3 linked regions of the Caenorhabditis elegans genome follow. The protein of the gene in region 2 interacts with the protein of the main gene of each other region in a pairwise test. Each region holds a gene or a part of one and is shown on either strand. Other genes may lie near its edges.

Region 1 (8,483 bases), on a different chromosome or scaffold from region 2:
TCATTTAAAAATAGAAAATTTGAAGAAAATTTTGTTTAAAATCCAACAAAAAAAAGATTTTGAGGGTGCAAATCTGAATTTTCGATTTTTGGTCGGACAATGAGAAAAATATTTAAAAAACAAATTTAGGGTTGCAATTCAAAAACAACGTTACATTTCACTCAAGTTTCCCAATTTTCAGCATAAAAACCCGAGAAAATCCGTGCGAGACCTGTCGATTTGCAATGGAGCGCAGTTGTTCATGTTGAGGATATAATTTTATTCGAAATATTAGTTCCTTCAGATAGTTTTTCGAGAAATCACTGAGAAAGGAAATGAGAAAAATATGATAAATGGTTTTTTTGCGACAGACGCCCTATAGGACCCATGGGGGTTTTAAAGTTTAAAATTCTTATATTTTTGCCAATTTTTTTTCAAAAACTGGAAGTAAAAAGGGGAAATTAATCGTTTAAAATGCAATTTTATAAGAAAAAACCGGAAAAATCAAAGAAAAGTTCCGATTCTCCGGAAAAAAAAAACGTAACAATTCTCTGGGACGTTTAAAAATTCTCAGATTTTCGCAAAATTTTTTAGTATTCGAATTGTCTTTACAACGCTGTGTATCCAACTAGTATTGCGAATGCGGTGAACGAATAATAGGCACGGGCGGCTGCGGGGGAAATACACCGGAAATGTATGTCCTTGAGCAGAAGAATAGTGGGGGCTCCGTGGAGCACTGACTGGACGGGAAATTTTTTTTTATTAATTTTTATTTTTATTGAAAACTTTGAAAATTTAGAATAAACTTGATTAAAAAATCGAGTGAAAAAACATTTATTTGAAACTTAAAAAATTCCGAAAAAAAAGTAAAACAAAATAAATTCTTCAAAAACTTTCAAAATTTTTCTTCCGAATTTGCACTCATCTCGCCTGGAGCTTAACGATAAGTATAATCATGACCCATTTCCATTAGTTTCCGAAATTCTTGGGTCTCGCAACGAAAAACTACAGTAACCCATTGAGTTTCTCGGCGGGACCCTTATATGGTTGTATTCAAATTGAAGCTCTCCGATTGATGAACTCAAATGTTTCATTAAGTTGTTAAAATTTTAAAAAAGTCAGGGCCCACCACGAAAATCCCCGGGTTACGGTAGTTTTCATGGCGGGACCTTGAATTTGTCAAATTTTGGATTTTTAAACATTTTTATAAGATTTTTTAATACTAATTTTAATAAAATTAAAGTTTTAAAATACGCTGAATAACAAAATAACTGTGAAAATTTCAAATATTTGCGGAAATTAAAAAAAAAATTTAATTTTTTTTGTTTATTAAAATAACAGTTATTAAATATACTTGCTTTTAACTTTCAAATCTAATCAGTTGTAATAAGGTTTCAAAAATATTGGGTCCCGAAACGAAAACTCGTGACGGGACCAAAAATTTTTGAAAATTGATTGAACATAGACATAATTATACTTATTTTAAAACACTTGGCCAACTAATAACAGACATAACAGTGACACTCAAAAAACATCGGGTTTCTGTAGGTTTTCGTGGCGGGACCCAAAAATGTCCATTTTTACAGATATATTTGAAATCAGCTCACTAATAGCTTCAATTTAAGTCTTATCATGACAAATTTGGGTCCCACCACGAAAGTCACGAAAGTAACCCGAGGGATTTCGTGGCGGGACCCAAAAATTTTCAAAACTATCAAAACCTAGCCATGATTATACTTATTTTGAAGCTCTCGGCGAGCTGAATCTAGGAAAAATACCAAAAATTGAAAATCCAGAGGTTTGGACAAATTTTCAGAATTTTCGTTTTGAGACCCAAATTTTTTTTCAAATTTCGAAATTTCAGATTTTAAGGTTTTTATGCAATTGAGAGATGTTAATTAAATATGAGCTTCCCATACTTCTTTGAAATTTGAGAAAATTTGGGCCACCACGAAAGCCTACAGTAACCCTGGGAATTTCGTGGTGGGATATAATTTTAAACATTGAATTCATCAATCTGAGAGCTTCAATCTGGATACAATAATGTCATGTTTTCCTTTGTAAATTACAGGGTCCCGCCATGAAGTTCTCCGGGTTACTGTAGGTTTTCGTGGCGGGACCCAAAAGTTTCCCCTTTTTTAAAGCTTTCATTGATCTGAAACTAGCTTAAACCTTTTTAAAAGTTTCCTTCCTGCATGATAATATTTATTAAAGGAACATGGATATGCACACAAATAAACTCGGTGCTGGGATTATTCTGTTCAGATATTGCGACAAAGTGAAAGAGACCTGCACTTCTAATAAGGGGGAATACAATAAAAATTTAAATTGCAAAAAAAAAAATGTTGAGATTCTTTGTTTTTTCAGAGACCACCGCAGGGGTCAGTGGGATTTTTTGTTGGAAAAGTGAAAACGGAAATACTGATAAAGCTCACAGTTGATCGGGAGGGGACATTGGGGGATATATCACACGAGATAATAAAATATAATAATCAGGGAGACTTGCGCTGCTCCTGTGACTGATTCAACTGATTAATTTGCTCGAGAAAGGTCAGCGCGTTGGCTCCACCGTTAGCCATGCTCGGTAGGCCGAGAAGTTGACTGAAAACGGCTGCTTGACTGGTTGCTGGCTGAAAAGTTTAGAGTTTTTTCCAAAGAGTTTTTTTTTCGCTGGAAAAAAATTGAGCAAAACAACGGCTCACATTTTCATCTTCCCTCATTCTTCTACGGAATCGCTGTTGGATAAAATCTTTTCGCATGTGAACCGGCCGATGTGTCTGAAAATTTGTAGAGTTCAGGGGGGAGAATATTGAAAAATGAGGTCTGAAATTGGGTCTCTCCACAGATGAATCCTAAACGTTTTAATGCTGCGAGTTATTTGGTTCAGTTAGGGCTCACAAACCGAACATCCGGTTATCCGAATGTCATTTGTCAAGGTTTTAGGTTCCAGACTTTTCGGACGTGTAGTTTCTCAAAACCAGCGGTAACATCAAAAAGTAGTTCGGGGGCCTAAGCTTAAGCCTAAGCCTAAGCCTAAGGCTAAGTTTCAGCCTTAGCATAAGCCTAAGTCTAAGCCTCAGCCGATGCTTAAGCTGAAGCCTGGGCATAAGCCTAAGCCTAAGCCTAAAACAAATCCTAGACCTAAGACTAAGTCTCAGTCTGAGCTTAAGACTAAGCCTATGCCTAAGCCTAAGCTTAGGCCTAAGGCCGAGCCAAAGCCTAAGCCTGAGCCTATGCCTACGCCTAAATGTAGGCCTAGGCCTAAGCCTAATATAAGCCAAACCTAAGCTATAAATCCCTTCTCCAGATTCATTCAATACTTCCCTTAACTCGTTAACTCGCTCACACTTTTGGTTTTTTTCCTTCTTTCTCTCTCTCTCTCTCTCTTTCTTGACCACAAAAACCATCATCAAGATCCTCCTCACTCACTCAAAACCCATTCAATTTTCATCGATAATTAGTCGTCGTAGTCGGAAACGACCTTTCGAGATGGGTAGTGGTGGTGGTAGTGGACCAGTAGCTAGAAGTAGTACATAACATCAGCAGCCCCTATGGGTTTCTAAGAGGTAATCGGAGGACGAGCGTACGCGCAATCTTCTAATTATCTTTTGAAACGCGACGACGGATATATATATATTGTCAAGGTTGTGTGTTTTGAATTGGGTCAACACTATTGAAGCTCCTTTTTTGGTTTTTTGAGTGCTAGCTAGGCGTCATGTACTTCTCTACAGTAGTTATGGGCTCAATCTCTGTAAGAGTTTCCAGCAGTAACCACTGTACCTACAGTAACCCTCAGATTTTCAGCCAACTCACCCTATGCAGCCTATAATACAATCCACACGCGTTACAAACAAGCTTCCCCTCCAAATCCCTTCGCCACGCTGTCGTTTTTATTGTGGAGCAATTGGAGCATTTCGAGATGGACGAGTTGGCACTTGTATCGTCCTCCGAGCTACCAGCCGCCGCGGCGGTGGATGCGTGTACTGTTGGTGATGGTGATTTCTGGAATTTAGACTTGGTTTAGGTCTTGGTTTAGCAGTCTGGTCTGAAGACTATGCTACTAACCCCGTTGAACTGCATAGAGAGCTGATCGAGCAGAGTCTGCTCAACAGACGCACTTGGCGATTGGTTTCTGTTCTCCGACGGTTCCTGCTGCTTTGACTCTTCGGCTTTTACGGGCTTCTGCTCTCTCGCCTGCTGTTGAGCATGGTGATGAGCAGCGGCTTGATGTTGTTGTTGCTGCACAAGGTTTAGCAAGTTCATCATATTTTGTGGATTGGCCATGGGATCGACTAAAAAGTTTTCAAAGATTTGTACAAAGATCTTGGGATATCCTGCGCAGGTAGGCATGGCAGCTCTTTCAGGTCTTTTCCAAGGTCTATGTGGTTCTATTAAAAGCTTTATCACTCTAAGAACCTTTATTTTTCTAAAGTCAATGAAACTTACACACAAACCCGTTGAAATTCTGAAAATCGGGAAACGGAGAGCTCGCGGAAACCGGCGTCGAAATATTCCTTGTGATTTTCTCAAAAGGCGAGTCACTACCTCCATTCTCCAAATGTCGATTCACAGATTCTTTGGTGGGTTTCCGTTTGCGGCACCCTCCATTCGACTTTCCGACTGATGACGGAGAAGCACGGCTTTCAGTTGGTGATGGGGGATACTGAAATTTAAAATTTTCGTGATTTGGTCTTCTTGATTTCCAGAAATTACAATTATGACATGTGGTATCAGAGTGTCCCATCTCGGTTTGATCTACGTGTAGATCTACGAGAATCGCGAGAATTCGGACGCAGACTTCTCAACTGATTTAGCACGGTTAAGAACGTGCTGACGTCACATTACTTGAAGAAACAAAGAAAATCCCGCATTTTTTTGTAGATCAAACCGTGATGGGACAGCCTGGCACCACGGGACACAGCAGGAAGTTATGATCAACGTGGATGCAAAAATAAACAAGTTTCTTGGGAATGGCTCAGAATCGCGAAAAACTGAGAAAATAACTTTAAAACAGATTCAGTTTCTTTCTCGAAAATTGTCAGGCGGCGGGAAAATGCTGCGAAATAAGCTCAGTTTCAGCCCATTTTGGCTTATTTCTAAAGTTCCACCAGCTCCTTCCCGCAGAACTTTTGCAACATGGCCGCTAAAAGTTGTCAAAAATCTCACCTTCTCCTCGCTTCCGCTCTCGGACATTTGCTCAAGCAGGACTTTTTCCTTTTCACTGATAAGAGCTTCAAGCCTTCCGCACACTTCGTCAATTTTCGACATCATTTTTGAAACATCCTGTAAGAAAACGAATAGACCGGAGCTTTCAGCGCGGCGATTCAAATTCCTAGAATTTCAGAAATTCTCAATGAAATGAAAAATAATTTAATGTTTCTGGTAATCCGAGAATTACTTCATGTATGCCTGCCTATCGGCATTTGGCTCTAGTTGGCAATTGGGCAAAACTTGGGCAAAACTTGGATTCAGGCTGCACCAAAGTTTCCCCCAACTCTTACCAAACTTTGGTCCAAAATTTTCTTTTTTTTAGTTATACTTGGGTAGAAGTCTGACCAGATTTTAGTTTTGCCAAAGTCTTGCCCAACTTTTGCCCAAGTTTAGCCAGCTTCTTATCCAAGTTAATATTTTTTAGGCCAAACTTGGGCAAGAAGCTGGAGCCAAATGTCGAGAGTAGGCAGGCGCGTGAGCCTACTGCTAAACAAAATAATATGCACCTGTCGAATATCCTTGTGAAGCTGAGCGCATCCGGTGCACGCTGCTGCTGTAGTCGCCGTCTCCTCAACCCGATCCTCCATCTCCTCCTCCACCTCCCGGCTCACCATCTCATCCGGCATCTCCTCCTTCGACGACGTCATCTGTAAATCACGTGTGACGTTGTTTTAGAAGAAGAAGAAGTGGAGAGCGAGAGAGAGAGAGAGACGGAGAGAGACTGTGGAGCGAGGGGAGAGTGCGAGAGAGCGAGAGGACGAAGTTAAAAGCTAAAAGTGATAGAATGAGATACATACGTTTATCCGTCAAAAACCACAAGAGATAAGGAGAGAGAGAGAGAGTGAGATGAGATTTTTTCAAAATAAATATGAAAATGCAAAAATGATGATTCAAGTGAAATGACAAAGTGGTGGGAGGAGGTGAATATAACACAACCATGCACAGAGAATTGGGGGAGGGGCCTCCTGCAGAATGGGGCGGAGCCTAACTATTATTATAAGTTGTCGGAGGAGGAGGTAAAGCTCACAGTCGGAAACACGCGGTGAAGTTGGGGGAAATGGGGCACAATTATTATTAGAAAATTGGCGGAAAATTATTTAATACTGTATTTTTCTGAAGGGGTAATGGAATGATGAAGGATTGCTTATTAATCAATAATACATTATGGAGAATTTCAAATTTCAAATTTCAATAAATAAGAAAAATTACATAAAGGTATTGTGCATAAAAAGGATGTGAAGGGGGAAAAAATAATAATGATAATTAAAATGTGGCACTGCTATTCATGAGCTCTTGAGCCTGCGTGAATTGCGAGATTTGCTCGAGTAAATTGAATGTGTTGATGGCTCCATCAGTGCTCACTCCGCCGGTCGCCATCGTCGGCATTTGTGTGAGGAGTTGGTTGAAGATCTGTGTTGCCGCCGACGACTCTTTTTCCTTGTTCTTTCGGCGGTAGCGTTGTTGGATGTGGTTTTTGCGCATTTCTATTGGTCGGCGAACCTGGAAATTGGAAAATGAATTAGTTGTTAAGGTGGGAAGGATCTGGGTGAGCTTTTGGAAGGATCCTTAGGCATTTAGGAGCTTCTAAGAGGGGGGGGGGGGGTACTGTGAGGATCCTTAAGATCCTAAGTATCCCAGTGTGGTTGATCGCCACAATCGATCGCGCAGAAATCCAAGCAGCATAAGGGTCAGAATTATCTTATCAAAGGATTCTGTAGAATTGTAGATTTTCCCAGAAAATTCAGATCTCAGGATATCGGTGGAAAGATCCTTCGGATAGATCTTCGCGCTGGTAAATTTTAGAAGGATCCGCAGATGATGTGAATGTTCTTACTAGAGGCTGTAGGGGATCCTAGCGATGGAAGGATCGGAAGGATCGGAGGTCTCCTTTGGCTTAAGCTTCGATCTAAAGACTTCCGGTTGTTCTAGCATATCAAAGAATTCGTTGGGATCTCCATTATCACCAAGCTTCTGTCCTAGATAGCCTCACCGGATCCTAAGTCAGATTCTTGGATCCACCTGTCTCCTAATCAGACATCTGGTCTGTCCGGTCGTGATCGTCCCGTTTCCTGCACCGCCAATTATCATTTCTCCCAATTTCATAACCTTGGCCATATTAGATACACACACACACATCCATCTAAGGGCGGAACGTTCTTCTCAATTTGCACACACAATAGAGACAACAATAGGGGTGGTGGTGGTCTTCCATCTTCGGAGACGGCGGCGGGGTGGGCAATTAGGGTGAGAGTGAGTGTACGTGTATCAGCAAAAGGAGGGGGGAGATACAAAGTGGTGGTGAGAGGGGGATCACTCCGTAATTGCCGAATTTTTGATCCAGTGGAACTAATGGAAGGTCTTCTTGGGTATGGATCAGCTGATCTTACACCTTACACCGGAATCTTGAGGATCCTCGAATCACTGGAACCAATGAAACTTCTACAGATCATCAGAATCTTGAGCGATCGCCTCAAGATTGTTGGGATATCCTTGCTAGGTTATTCTCTGATGTTCCACCTCGGGAATCATCGACCTATTCCAGGAAACAGTGAAGCTCTGGTGCTTCTTAAGATCCTCAGAATCCTCAGGATCCTCCCTACAACTACCCCCGCCGCCAAAGTTTCGATATGGATTGGCGTGCGGAACCAAAAAGTCATTGGTGATGATGATGACGACGTTGAGGCTGGATTGTTTGCGCGCGCACGCGTGCACTAGTTTCATCTCCCCCTAATTGTCGGTGCCGGTGGTGAACAATAAGACGTCGTCGTCGTCGTTTCTTCTCCTAAAATGAATAAGAAAAGGAAGAGGTGGAAAGTCTATTCGAGTTACAGGTAATCATTGACTCGTCTCCTTCTGCGGCACGCACGCCGCCGCCGCCGCCGCCGCAGCCGATACGCTAATTATCGAGGTGGAGACGACGACGATGACGACGACCACATAATGGTTGAAGTGATGGAAATTGAAAGAAAGGTAGATACTGTATCGATGATGATGGAGATGATGATGATGATGAGGTGGAGAAGGTGGAGGTACTGTACTTTTGACCTACTGGGGTGGTAGAGTTCGAAATTCTTGATAATGCGGGGATCTTCAACAAGAACCAAGTAACTCAGAGCTTCTGATAAGGATCAGGATCGCATATGGGACGATCAGATGATCTGAAATCTTCACCTGAAGCCCAGGATTGCCAGGCTAAGAGGGTTATCACAGGCTCTCTGGCCTATCTAGGATCACCAGGATCCGAACATTCTCCAGAACGATTAGAGCAGCTTTAGAACCTGGATAGAGCGAAT
Region 2 (7,056 bases):
TCACTGCTCTCTGTCGGTTCCCCGATCCCCCCTAAGGCTTAGAGGCCAGTCTAGTCACTTTTTGCTCCAGCCGGCTTGACCTAAAAATCATACACACATAAAATGGGCCGGCCTCCTCTTAAAATTGACAGATACATCTCATAAACCAATTAAGCGGCGTCTCGTTTACAACTTGACATAATGAGGTAAAATAGGGGGCGGTGCACCTGGCTGGGGGGCACACCAACAACGATTCAATCGAAATCTTTTTTTTTGTTGTGTTTCGTTAGCATTTTTGCCCCGGTGCCCACTCCTCCTCCAATTTTTTCGACGGGTTTCTATAGACCCCATCAATCATTTGTATGACTTGTCCGGTGCAAGTCCACGCAATTCTCCTTCCTTTTTTTGCCTCCGTCCCTCACTACCACCACCACCACCACCACCGACGACGAAACGTATCGATTTAAAAGGAGAGGGAAAAAGAGCGTGCGCGCGGGCCGCCCGTTTTTCAAATTTTGTTTCGTGTCCCCCCCCCCCCCCCCACCAACACCGGGCCGGCTGGTCGGTGGTTGTGATGGTGGTGGACACACGGGTTACTGTAGTAGGCATACACATCCCCTGGTACGGTATTTGGGGAGCCAGGCGAGAGAATCGAAATAGAAGCGAAGAGCAGGGGAGCAAGAGCATCGATTGCGATACGATGCGTGGAAGAAAAAACCACTGATAACTTTTTTTTTCGAATAATGTTCGGCGCACGTAGCAAAGAGCACACCGTAAGCTTATCAGTTTATACGTCAGCCTCGTTGAGCAAAGATCTGCCTAGGTTTTTGAGTATGACTATGGAGAAGAAAAAGTAGATCAGATTGGGAAACAAAATGGCAAAACTATGTACAAATGAATCAAATTTTGTTAGCCTCTAAATTAGCTTTTTTTTATTCACTCTATTTTAGAGACTTATATCTAAGTTGTCCTTAGTCTTATTAAAAAATGTTTTACTGTAAAAATGTAGAAAAATATTTGCACAAATTTTGTCAGTTGAAAATTTTTTTTACAAGCCCTAATGGGATCGAGTTATAAGCCGTCAAAGTGGAGCAAAAAGAGGCAAGGCGGATAGAGCAGTAGCTCTTTTGCATAGAAACAGTAGCTATATTGAAAATGGAAAGCTTGTAAAAAATTGGTTTAAAAATTTGTTAGCCTCATAATTTTGGCCTTTAATTTAGGCCTTTGATTAATCTTTTGAGCTGAGCCTATTACTCTAGAATTTTTGAAACAACTCAATTCTGTCAATTCAAGCAACAAAAGCACCACACGCTACCTTCCAGGAAATCTGAAATCTATAGGTTAATCTTCTTCCCGTGTCTACCATGTTACCAAACAAAGAAAAACAGTCTGAAACTTTATCCCACTTGACACCTCCTACCCCTCCTCTTCCATATGATCCTAATCTTAATCCCCTTAGAACAAAAGGCGACGTTAATAAAGTGCAGCTGGAGTATAAGTAGATGAGGGAAACGGGGGATGTGGTGCATTGAAGGGAAAAAATGTTGAAACTTTTGTATTTTAATGTTAGCATCTCTATGTCTCTACTCTCTGATTATTGATAAGGAAAATGTGTCAAAAAATGACTGTGCTCTCTGGAAGAGGCGAAAGGTTGCGATATTTTATTACATTCATAGGTGCACATTTAGTTGACAATCTGGAAAGTGTAGTTTCAGAAGGATCTTGTTTAATTAATTAATTTTTTGTGGAAACTTGGAAATAGCTGACTAGGTTTGGTAGAGCTTTTTTGATTCCTGATAATGAATTTGAAAAATTAGGACATTGTCCGCAATTTCCTTAGTAGGCTTGCACCCGTCTTGCTCCACTTTAACAGCTTCTATCTCAGCTCTCTTTGATTTTATCAGAAAAATTTTAACTGACAAAATATGCGCAAAATGTTTTTCTATATTTTACCAGTTAAACATTTTTTGATCCAATCAAAAGCAACAGAGATATAGGCCGTCAAAATAGTTTCTCACATTTTCGGTGGAGCAAATTTCTTTCAGAAACCGAACTCACTTTTAGATTTTTTTTTAATTTCCAAACTAGTCACATTTCCTCAGCTCATGCTCATTCACATGACAAAAAACTTCCGGTGAAACTGGCGGTATAATGAAACTTTTTTTTCAGTCTCATACCGTACATTACATAAACCTTATCAAATAAAAAGAAACTAGTTCCAATCTTCATTCTTTCCACTTTATTTTTCCTTAGCACTTACATTTTTTTTGTTCGAATTTCAAAAATATAATGAGAACAGCTTTGTGCACCTAGTGGGGGCAAAAACGAACAAAAGCAATTTATCTTCAATGCGGAGGACATTGGACACAGGACAGCAGCATGTAAACTTGAATTTGCCCTCCTGGTTCATCTCTTGCGGAGCCTATTTATTATTTTTTTTTTCGAATCCATCCCTTTTTTTTTGGTGTGCTTTTTGTGCTTTCGGGCCACGAGGACCCATCTGCTGTTGCTCACGCACAGACTCTTTTGATAAATGATAATGAGTTTCACGTTTTCTTTTTCAAAATTTAATATTTCTCTCTTGCAGGAACATGAGCGGCGACTCAAAAGTGTGGGCTCACGCGTCCGCTGACACTTGGGCTGTTCAAAATGGAATTTCGACGTACGATTTGGACACGTCGAGCATCAAACGAGAGAAGCGGGATCACAATGAGGTAAAATTTAAGAATTGGTTGTTGTTTTAATTTGCGACTAAATTTCCTAATTAAATTGATTTCTGAAAATTGAAAAAATTTTTGCCGATTAAAAAATTCTTTAGGATCTTCACATTGTAGTTTAAGAAATTCAAAAATCAATTTTTAGAATTAAAAATAATTTTATAAATCGAGCTTTGAAGGGTTTTGTATTGTCTGAAACTTCAAAACTTTTGGAATTTCGGAAAAAAAAATGAAAAAAATGTTCAAAATGAACTGTAATTTTTCAGTTCTGTTACGATAAAATGCTTTCAGAAAATTGATAAAATCTATAAAATCAAAATTGTAAAAATTTTAGAGTTTCGAAATTGGTTTTTCATTGAAATATAAATTTCAAGAAACCGGGAAAAAATATTGTAATATTTCGCAAAAATTTGAAACATCACATTAAAGGCACACATTGTTTTTTTTTCTGAGTTGGTCTCGCCACAGGAGCTAAATTCAACAGATTTTTTTTCATTTGACATAGGAAAACAAATTTCAAATTCGGAAATCCACTAAAAATTCAGAATTTATTATGAAAAAAGTATATTAAAGGTGGAATAGCGCCAGTGGGAATTTTGTCTAAATACACTTATAATGATCCAAAACGACCGAATATTATAATAAAACACCCCACAAAATTTTAGCTTTTTCATAATTTCCGTTCAAACTTTTGCCAAATTGCCAAATTTTTGAAAAATATGAGCTTTCGAGGAAATCCAAAGCAATGTCGCATGTTTCGCCCCCTACAATGTTTCAACACGAATAATTAAAATAAGCTTAAAGTGTAAAAAATGTAGGAAAAAACTTTTTTTGGTCGACTTCCAAAATTATGAGTAACAAAAACTGAGTAATTGTCACTTTTTGACCGCAAATAAAAAAATTTAAGAAAATTTTTGATTGTTTTGATGTTTTTGTTTGATGTGTTTGTTTGATGATGTTTTATTACGATATTCGGTCATTTTGGGACCATAGGAGTGGTTTTTAACAATTTCCCCATTGGCGCTACTCCACCTTCAACAACTACCATAAAAATCTAAGAACATATTTTTTGGGTTTACAACCTACCAGTTAAAGTTCATAGAGCTAGTTCCACACATCCACGATATAATATGCAATTTAACAGCCGATGATCCGATTATCAATATCAACAGCATAAAAGCAATAACAAAATCCTGATAATTTTCACACAAATTGTCCGCCGCTTTTATCTTTTCTCTCCTCATTCTTCTTCGTCTCATCATCGCTCCCCCCCCCCCCCCCCCCCCCCCCACCGACCGATTTATCTCTTTTAATCACATTAATCATGTGTTTCTTATCGAGGGTGGAAAATTGGAAAATTGATAGGCGACATGGAATTTGGCTGCCAAGAATCGGGTACTACTTGGTAGAAAATGTAAATTTGTGTTAGCTGGAAAACCTGAGGTCCCCCACACTTGACTTTTTGCCTCGTCTCGCTAAAACAAAAAAAAGAGGAAAATGCAATGCATGTATTTTTTCGTCGTCGTCGTCGTCGTCGTTTTCTTCGTGTTTGACTTCTTCTACTCCTCTCCAAATTTGCCTTCTCACCCTCCTCTCACACCCGGGGTCTACTGTACCGAATTGAGTGCCTATTGGCGCAATAGGGCGGGGCCCCGGCGCATCGCTCTCTCTCTCACTCACTCCTTCTCTCGAGGGGGGCTAACAGGGGAAAATAGACTGAGAGAGAGAGGAGAAGGCAAGCGAGTCGATCTGCCCCCCGGTTGCCCGTTTCTCTCTCTTTCGGTGGTTTCTCGTATTTTTCCCCCACCAGGGAGAGTCAGAGAGAGGGAGCCCCGCCCACATTCACCCCACCAACCCTCCCCCCAACGATCGGACAAGATTGACATACAACCGTTTTGAAGTGTGTGAGAAGTTGTCATTTTCGATATTCATCTGTCTGTCATATTATTTACGTTCGTTCCATCATCATCGACATCACACGCAGGGCAGAGAAGAACACACGCCGCCACCGCCGGCCCATCAAATCGGCACACTAATCAATCGATCAACGAGAGAAGAAGAAGAAGGGGCGGGCGACAAGCTCTGACCATCATCGTGTGTGTGACAGACTGACTGACTGACACCCCGTTGTGGAAAGAGTTTTCGATCCCGACACGACCATCGTTCATCTTATTCAGCAAGGCCCCGTGTGTCGGCAACGACGATGGCGCAGAGGGTACTTCTTCTTCTTCTTCTCCTTCATTCCGTTTCCCCTCTGCTTCTTCTGACTTTGACATGATACCAGAAAGAGCGCCATCCCTTTTTCCTTTTCTCCTCTATAATTTATCGTTGTGTTGGGTGGTGGCTCGAGCTCATTCTTGGGTTTCCAATCAGCCATTGCGCCCCCCACCGCGCCGTCGCTGTCGCTTTTTTCCCGCTTTCTAGATCTCAAAATTGCAATTTTTAGGTGTTCGCCTTGTTTTAAGCGCTGGTTAGTTACAATATAGTTTCCCAAGCTTCAGAATATAGAAAAACTTGACCCCAAATACCTCGAAAAGTCGTATCTCTGCTCATCTCTAGAAAATCAGTGAATATAATACTTTAAAACTATAGTTCTAGAAAAAACAAATATTTTGTCAGCTTAGAACTTTTTGTTTTAACTGAAAATTACAATGAGCTGCCAAATTGAAGCTACGGTCTGCAAGACTAACAGTTGCACCCCATCGTCCAACTTTGACAGCTTATATCTCAGTTTTCGTTCATCCTATATAAAAATTGTCAACTGGCAAAATCCGTATTATTTCTTTTTCTATAATTTTGTAGTTGACTATTTATTTATATCTTCTAATTGAACCGTGATATAACTTTTCAAAGTGAGGTAGTGAGGTGGAATACTATCGACTTTTGCAAATCGTTAAAATAACACCAGTGAATATTTCAAAATATAAGTACTTATATTAAGCCCCTCATTCTTAAATTTTTCCTTGCATCGATTAGTTTTAGTTTTAGTTTCCGAAGCCAACACAAGAATCACAAATAGTTTTACGATCTTACCGACAGTATCACTTTTTCTCGGGAATCATTTGAAAAAAGATAAGAAAATGTCCCAAATTCCACCCCTTTTCCCCGTCTTCCCCGCTGACTAATAAAACCCATTAAAATGATTTTGATGAGCTTGGGCTACTGCTTAGAAAAAATGCCTATGACCACCACCACCAATGGTTCCAAAAAGTGTCAAAAAATTGGCCTCTTTAGTTATCAATACAATTTATCAATTAATCAATTTGAGAGACAAGACACAGAAAAAAGAAAAAAGAAAAAAAAATAGGAAAGCGTGGTTTCAATTTCTCACTTTATCCTTCCACCGTTATCCCCGTTCACATCTTCTTTTACCCGAATCGGGGGGCCGAGAAGATTTATTTCGTCAAAAAATCCGCCTATCATCTTGCCGAAATCTGGAACGGCGCCCCTTTGTACCGAAATTTCGAAAAAAAAAAGATTTTGGAGGAAAACTAAAATTATTGATTTTTTTTTTGCAAAATTTTTGCTAGCCATGTCAGAAGAAGAGATAAGATTTTACCCATAAATCCCTCACATATTTAGGCGCCTTTTAATAAAATTATCTAATCTTATCCATATTTTTTCAGCAGTTCAACGATGGATATGGTCCACCACCGGGCTCGGCGAGCGCCGACCCAGCCAGTTATATTGCCGATCCGGCGGCGTTTTACAATTTGTACACGAATATGGGTGGCGCGCCGACGTCAACTCCGATGATGCACCATGAGATGGGTGAAGCCATGAAACGGGATAAGGAGTCTATTTATGCGTGAGTTTTTTTTGAATTTTAATTTTATAAAGTCTGCCTACAAGGCCTGCCTTGTGCCTGTTTTTTTTTCAAAATTAAACATTCAACAAGTCATCAAAAATTTGTGAAAAAAATTCAAAAGTAGGCGGTAGGCAGGCAAAACATAGGTCCTCATGTTTGGAGACGTGCCTGAGAAGCTGAAGCTAAAAAATTTTGACGTAAAAAAAATTAAAAAATTTCAAAATTTTCTGCTTCTAAATTTCGTTAAAATTATTACATTTTCAAAATACTTTCAAATCGCTAAAAAAAATTGATTTTTAACAATTTTCAAATTTTCAGCCATCCACTCTATCCACTTCTAGTTCTCCTATTCGAAAAATGCGAGCTCGCCACGTCAACGCCCCGAGACACGTCACGCGACGGATCCACGTCATCGGACGTGTGCTCCAGCGCGTCTTTCAAAGATGATCTCAACGAATTTGTAAGACATGTAAGTTTCGGGGAAATAATAAAATGAAAAAAAAGAAAGTTTTACAGACCCAAGAGAATGCTGACAAGCAGTACTATGTACCG
Region 3 (5,645 bases), on a different chromosome or scaffold from region 2:
ATATGTTCAATTTGAGTATTTTTCTTGTTAGGATTAAAGTGAAAAATTCTTCCAATAATAAATCAGAAAGTATAAGTAAACTTAAGTAAACTTAATTTTCCAGAACATTTCAAACAGTGAGAACTAGAAAACTAGTCTCTCATTTGAAATCAAATTTCCAATTGTAAGTTTATGTTTTTAAAAGGCTGTAACATTAAAACGTACATTTTTATCAATAACATTTTTGAAATAATTAATTAAACACAAACACATTTTTTTTGTTTCAGTTTATGCTTGGTTTCCAAAATATTCCCCTAAAAAACAACGACCATAGTATGTCATCAAATCAGTTTCCCACTAGCCTTCTATGATATCAGAATGACCTGGCACCCCCATTGCATAACGGTCCCATTCAGTGTACAGACTAAGTAGTGATTAATAAGGAGTTGGTAGGTTATGATAACCGACACAGAATCAGAAACCCGTGTGTACGGCTGAATTGGTCGACATAAGCGGGTTTAGCCAGCGTTGCTCGTTTATCACTACCGTAACAAAATTACTCTGAACTGTAATCGATTGGCAACATATGAATGATTTTATCAATGAGAGGATTCAGTTTAAAATTGGTATCTCACGTGATCAATGAAATATGAAACGATTATTTTACAATCAAAATGTTGAAAAGTAACTATTCTTTCAGTTTAGAATATGGCATTGAAGTTTATAGAGAATCACGTAGAATTTTGTGTTCAAGCTTTCAAGTATTCCAATGATAAATAACATTTTGCTGTTCGGTTTACGAAATTATTTTAAATCATCACATCATTTTTTTAATAGACCATATTTTTCAACAACTCTCAGAACTACCAAATGTCAGTAGAAACAGTCTGAAAATCATTCTGAATACAGTCAATTTTCTCTTCAAATTCTTGCTATTACAGAAACATATTTTGTATAGGAATCTTTAAAATATACCTTTCATAGCTGCCGATGAGCACTTTGAACAAGAAAATTCATTCAAAAAATGACTAATTTTTTAATACGGTTTTCATAAACCTGTTTTTTTTTGAACATATCAACAAATGATTAGATAATTGAAAAAAATAATGTTTTCGTCGGTTGTAAGTTTCTTAACAACACACAAGTTTAAAACATATTTGTGCCAGTTTGTCTCTAATATGACTCGAAAATATGAAACTTTTCTAAAAAAACACTAAAATGTATAAAACCGTGTGATTTAACGTAATTAGAATTAGGAATAAATAATTAATCAATAGTGTCAGAATTGAGCTTAAAATTCAGTAAATGTGAAAATTGAGCGATTTTTTGTTTCTAGTCCATTCCGTATTATGAAAAACAAAACATACACCACAAAAACATTTTTTAATGCAATTTAACTTTAAAAAACATTTTCATGATTTTCAAAAAATGGGATTTTTGAAAACATTTCTGAAAATCTCAAAAAGCCCATAGCAGATTGCTAGTCGATTTTTCAACTTTCTTCTCCCTGTTGCTCTTTGTTTTGAAGATCAGAGTAGAATAGTAGTTACAGAAATGCTTTAGTCTTTTCAATCACATATCAATACTAGATTTCCGGCGAAAAATTCGAAAATGACCCTCAAACCAAGTGGTAGTCTGATCGCAATGAAAACTTCTGAATAAGACAAAAAAAACTGAATTTAAAAAAATCAGAACTTGTTTATTTCTAAGCATGGCAAAACAAATTTATCTTCTAAAAAATACAAATAAAAGCATTTCTCACACGACAAACCAAAGACATACTAATGTTGCGAAACATTACTACAACATGAAACTATTCAAATATATTTAATTGTCTGAAAATTTACTATGCTAAATCTTTAATGCCCAACAAAAAAACTTAGTTAAAATATTTTCAAGTTTGGTTTTCAAACCAATTTAGGAAATATGTGAGATAATTAGGGTTTTCAGAGATTTGGAATGAAATCTGTGTGCACAGTTTCATGAATTAATAGTCAATGCTGAAACTTCAATGAGCTAGCTCAAAAATTTGCACATTGTGAGCCCTTTGCTGTGGAGCTCATGCTGCCTTCTATCCTCTTCAAATCATTTCCGGTTTGAAAACAGACACCCATCTGCAATAAACGGTGCCGACCGTGGATATTGCACATATGATCCCTTGCTGCCCTCTTGTAAACTCTATACACCGTATTGCAACGTCATTCAGAAAATGTTTTATTTTTGGTACAATATTGTATCTGACACAATCACAAATCTAAAACTTTGACCCTATCAAGTATGAAGAGAGAAGGTAAATCGAAAAAAATATAGACATATGAAAAAAAAGAGTAGCATATATTGGAAAAAACAGATGATCCTCAAGTAATACTGGACAACATGAAAATGTTTAAGCAGGAATGACAAAATTGACCGTTTTCATAAGAAAGCCTAGATGCCAAATACTAATTCTCAGCAGAATTTAGCGATCAGGTGAGATTTGTGGGGATGTCATAGACGTCGAATTAAAGCTATCAGTGAGATTTTGAAGAATTAATGTTACTCGTGGATCCAGTTCAGGGAGTGGTGTTTCACTTTTGATTGGTACAACTGGAGCTCCAATACTGTGTCGGTTTGGATCATGTGTTGCACGGTGGACGAGGAGAGTTCTTGATTGGCAGAATCCTTTCCCACAGATTTCGCATTTGAATGGCCTGTCCTTTTGGTGGATATACTTGTGGTCTCTAAGATGATCCTGACGACGGAATGCTTTTCCACAAACATCACACGAGTATGGTCGCTCATCAGTATGTGTCCTTTCATGGATCAGGAGGTTGTAAGACTTGGTGAAGTGACGATCACAATATTTGCAGATGAATTCCTTCTTTGGTCGGGCTGCTCGGCCAGTAGTCCTTCCACGTCCAGGGATCATGAACCTAAAACTAAATAGTTGAGATGATACAGTATAAAATTTCTTATCATCATATCGTACATTATGATACAAGAGCTTACCATGGTTGATCGTAAGGAACAAATGGTCGAACGGCTGCAGTAGTGAGCGTCGGGGACATTTTTGGAGACACACTTTCTTCTTTGATCTTCTGTTCAGATTCAATTGAATCAGCCATGTGAGTGAAGTCAAATTTTGCTTTCTTGAGATCGGTGATCATTGGAATTTCTGGATTCATAGCAAGCAGCGCCATTTTCCTCTGCTGCAGAAAATTTTGGAGTTGGAGGTGTTGTTGTGCAAGCATCATTCGAAAAACTTGTTCATTTGATTGAGGAAAAATTGATGTTGGAACTTGTCGTTGCCACGGAAGCATTTTTGTGTGTGCGGGAAGGGCTAGTGTTGATTCCAGCTGAAAAGAAAACAATTATTTCAAATTGATTTGAGGTCGCAAAAATAGCGGAACGAGCAAATACGATTTGAAAAGAGGGAAAAATGATGATACCGTTGGGCAATGTAAGAGAGCAGAATTCAGAAGAAGGAGCGATAGTTATTGTTTGCTCCTTTTCAAGAGAAGTTGTCACTTTGTTAACGAGTATTATCGTCTTATGGGGTAATCTACTACAAACAAATCTAAAAGGAGGAGAGGACTGAACAGGCGGAGCACAATGTTGCGGTGGTGGTAGGGATGACTGTCAAGAAAGAAGGAGGATCACTTACAACTCAGTGGGATACTTTGACTCTATGGTGCCGCTTTTTTGGGAGGAGGGCGACTCACATTTTACACCACGCGTCATCTATGAATTTTTATAGACTCGCTAACACTTCTGAATTTTGGAAACGGCGATAACGAATGATTGGAAATGGAAGAGGGGCGAAATTGAAAGAAATTCTTTGTGCTGGTCGGTAAGTAGAAAGGTTTTGATGGCTTGTTGATGCTCGGGCGCATGATATTATCAAGTACACGGCGGCTATAAAAACGGTTGGCTTCCGTGCTTCGGTCCTACATCAAAGGTAGCCGACGTGCACGGAGGTGTTAGGGGAGTGTTTACCAAACAGTAGAGGTGTATGTGACTAGAAGCTATCTATCTCATTTGCAAGTTATGAAATTGAAGAAAATGAGAACCACATTTTCCATATTGACTCATAGAGAAAACCAGCAGAAAAGAGTCGAAAAGTGTAGAAAAAGTAGAAAAAAGTAGGGGAAAAATGAGAAAAAGGGAAAGCCTTTTCGGGTGAAGACTCGCGGTGATATGCAAACATTAGACATTTTCAGAAGGAAGAAAGTTAGCAGAAAAAAAGAAAAAAATCACAGTTAAATATGGGCCTCTTCTATTGACAATATGATGATACTGTGACTTTGACTCTCCCCGTTTTTCTCACTCTATTTCGGCGATGTGGAAAGAAGAATGGTGCCAAAAAAGAAACTTTGGTATCAATGGGGAAAAACGAAAGCGGACAGGGAGCAGAATATCATTCTCAACCTATTGTTATGATAAAATCGTATCGCGAGCCACCTATTTTCCCGCTTTTAAACATCTCAAAAATTTTTTGCTTCATGTATAATAGTTTAAAAACAAGAAATGATACAAATTATGATGCATGCTGGCCACATAAAAAACAGTAGAACCCTCTTCCGTACGGTTGCAAAACACAATTGAAAAATGTGGGTAAAACGGCGGGAAATTTGTCATTGAATCATATTAGCGGTTCAGACTAATACTAATACAAAATTTTATATGCACTTTTGTCGAAAATTTGGGCACTACAAACTGTATAAAAGTTTGATCTTAATTTTTCAGCTTGAAAATGATTTTTTTAACAGATTCTCCAATATGGAATTTCCAAAAGTGGTACTTTTCAATTTAGTTTTCACAGAATGTGCTCGAATGAGCACTGTCTAACTTAGCTAGCTAGCTACTGTGTAACGATAAAACTGTTGAGTTAAGACAGTTTTTGTTAGAGATCTTCAACAACTCACACAAATAGTTGAAAAATTTGCAGAACCAAGTTTTCAGAACATACAATATCGCCTATACTTGGTAGAATGGAGGAACTGAGTGGCTTCCCAGAAGCAGACGGAGGCGGCCACCACCTCGTGTTCAGCTCGTCTTCTCCTCCGACACGCCCACTGTCTTTGCTGCTGCTCTCTCGGCGGGCGCTGGTTGACTGACTACGGTAGGCCCTGTGCTGCCGTGCACCGCCTACTTTAGAAGTAGAAGTAGATCTTTGAAGATTTCATGACACCCTTTTCAAAGAAGTTTTAGACCTAACTATACTTTTAAAAAACCGTGAAACTGTCTGGAGCGATAAGAAACATAAAAAGCGCCTTTAGGTCTGGATAAAGTTTTTCTAGACACACGGGAACCGAATCTATAGAGAAATTCAAAATTTTTGATTAGGTAACTGTAGTACACCAAAAACATAAGTGACATTTTATAACTTGACTGATGACAACTTAGGACATCTTGCACTATTTAGATAACATTTGCACGACAGTTATACACCTTTCTAGCTACTCGTTAATGATGAGTTATGGAAGTAAACTGTCCTATTATAGTGAACAGAAATTTTGAAAATACACATTAAAATTTGACATAAAAGAGAATGACTTGGAATATGGAGTACCGCGCGGCAGAAAAACCGCCCACTTTTTTTTGAGCAAACCATTTTTCTTGGCTATTCTCCGTTTGAATTTGGTTTCAAAGACGACGACAACTTTTTATGAAACCTATCATGTTGG

Evidence for each region. Proteins that work in one complex are often made in the same cells at the same time.
Region 1: the proteins of unc-62 (region 2) and elt-6 interact in a two-hybrid assay, tested with the Caenorhabditis elegans proteins (one large-scale study listed by BioGRID).
Region 3: the proteins of unc-62 (region 2) and odd-2 interact in a two-hybrid assay, tested with the Caenorhabditis elegans proteins (one large-scale study listed by BioGRID).

What each region holds. Positions count from the first base shown.
Region 1 is NC_003282.8:1,915,331-1,923,813, reverse strand, and holds elt-6 (Transcription factor elt-6), read right to left. Parts: upstream 5,838-8,483; coding exon 5,697-5,837; intron 5,263-5,696; coding exon 5,146-5,262; intron 4,643-5,145; coding exon 4,426-4,642; intron 4,272-4,425; coding exon 4,045-4,271; intron 3,982-4,044; coding exon 3,793-3,981; intron 2,757-3,792; coding exon 2,682-2,756; intron 2,610-2,681; coding exon 2,472-2,609; 3' UTR 2,170-2,471; downstream 1-2,169. Other genes in the region: Putative transcription factor egl-18, read right to left, coding at 6,454-6,690.
Region 2 is NC_003283.11:4,494,897-4,501,952, forward strand, and holds the start of unc-62 (Homeobox protein unc-62), read left to right. Parts: upstream 1-2,566; 5' UTR 2,567-2,570; coding exon 2,571-2,693; intron 2,694-4,433; exon of another isoform or gene 4,434-4,899; coding exon of another isoform or gene 4,900-4,911; intron 4,912-6,322; coding exon 6,323-6,504; intron 6,505-6,822; coding exon 6,823-6,973; intron 6,974-7,020; coding exon 7,021-7,056. UniProt on the Caenorhabditis elegans protein: Acts redundantly with ceh-20 and ceh-40 to perform overlapping roles during embryogenesis.
Region 3 is NC_003284.9:6,157,208-6,162,852, forward strand, and holds odd-2 (Protein odd-skipped-related 2), read right to left. Parts: upstream 3,321-5,645; 5' UTR 3,279-3,320; coding exon 2,968-3,278; intron 2,892-2,967; coding exon 2,438-2,891; 3' UTR 2,170-2,437; downstream 1-2,169. UniProt on the Caenorhabditis elegans protein: May function as transcription regulator. Required for morphogenesis and function of the digestive tract.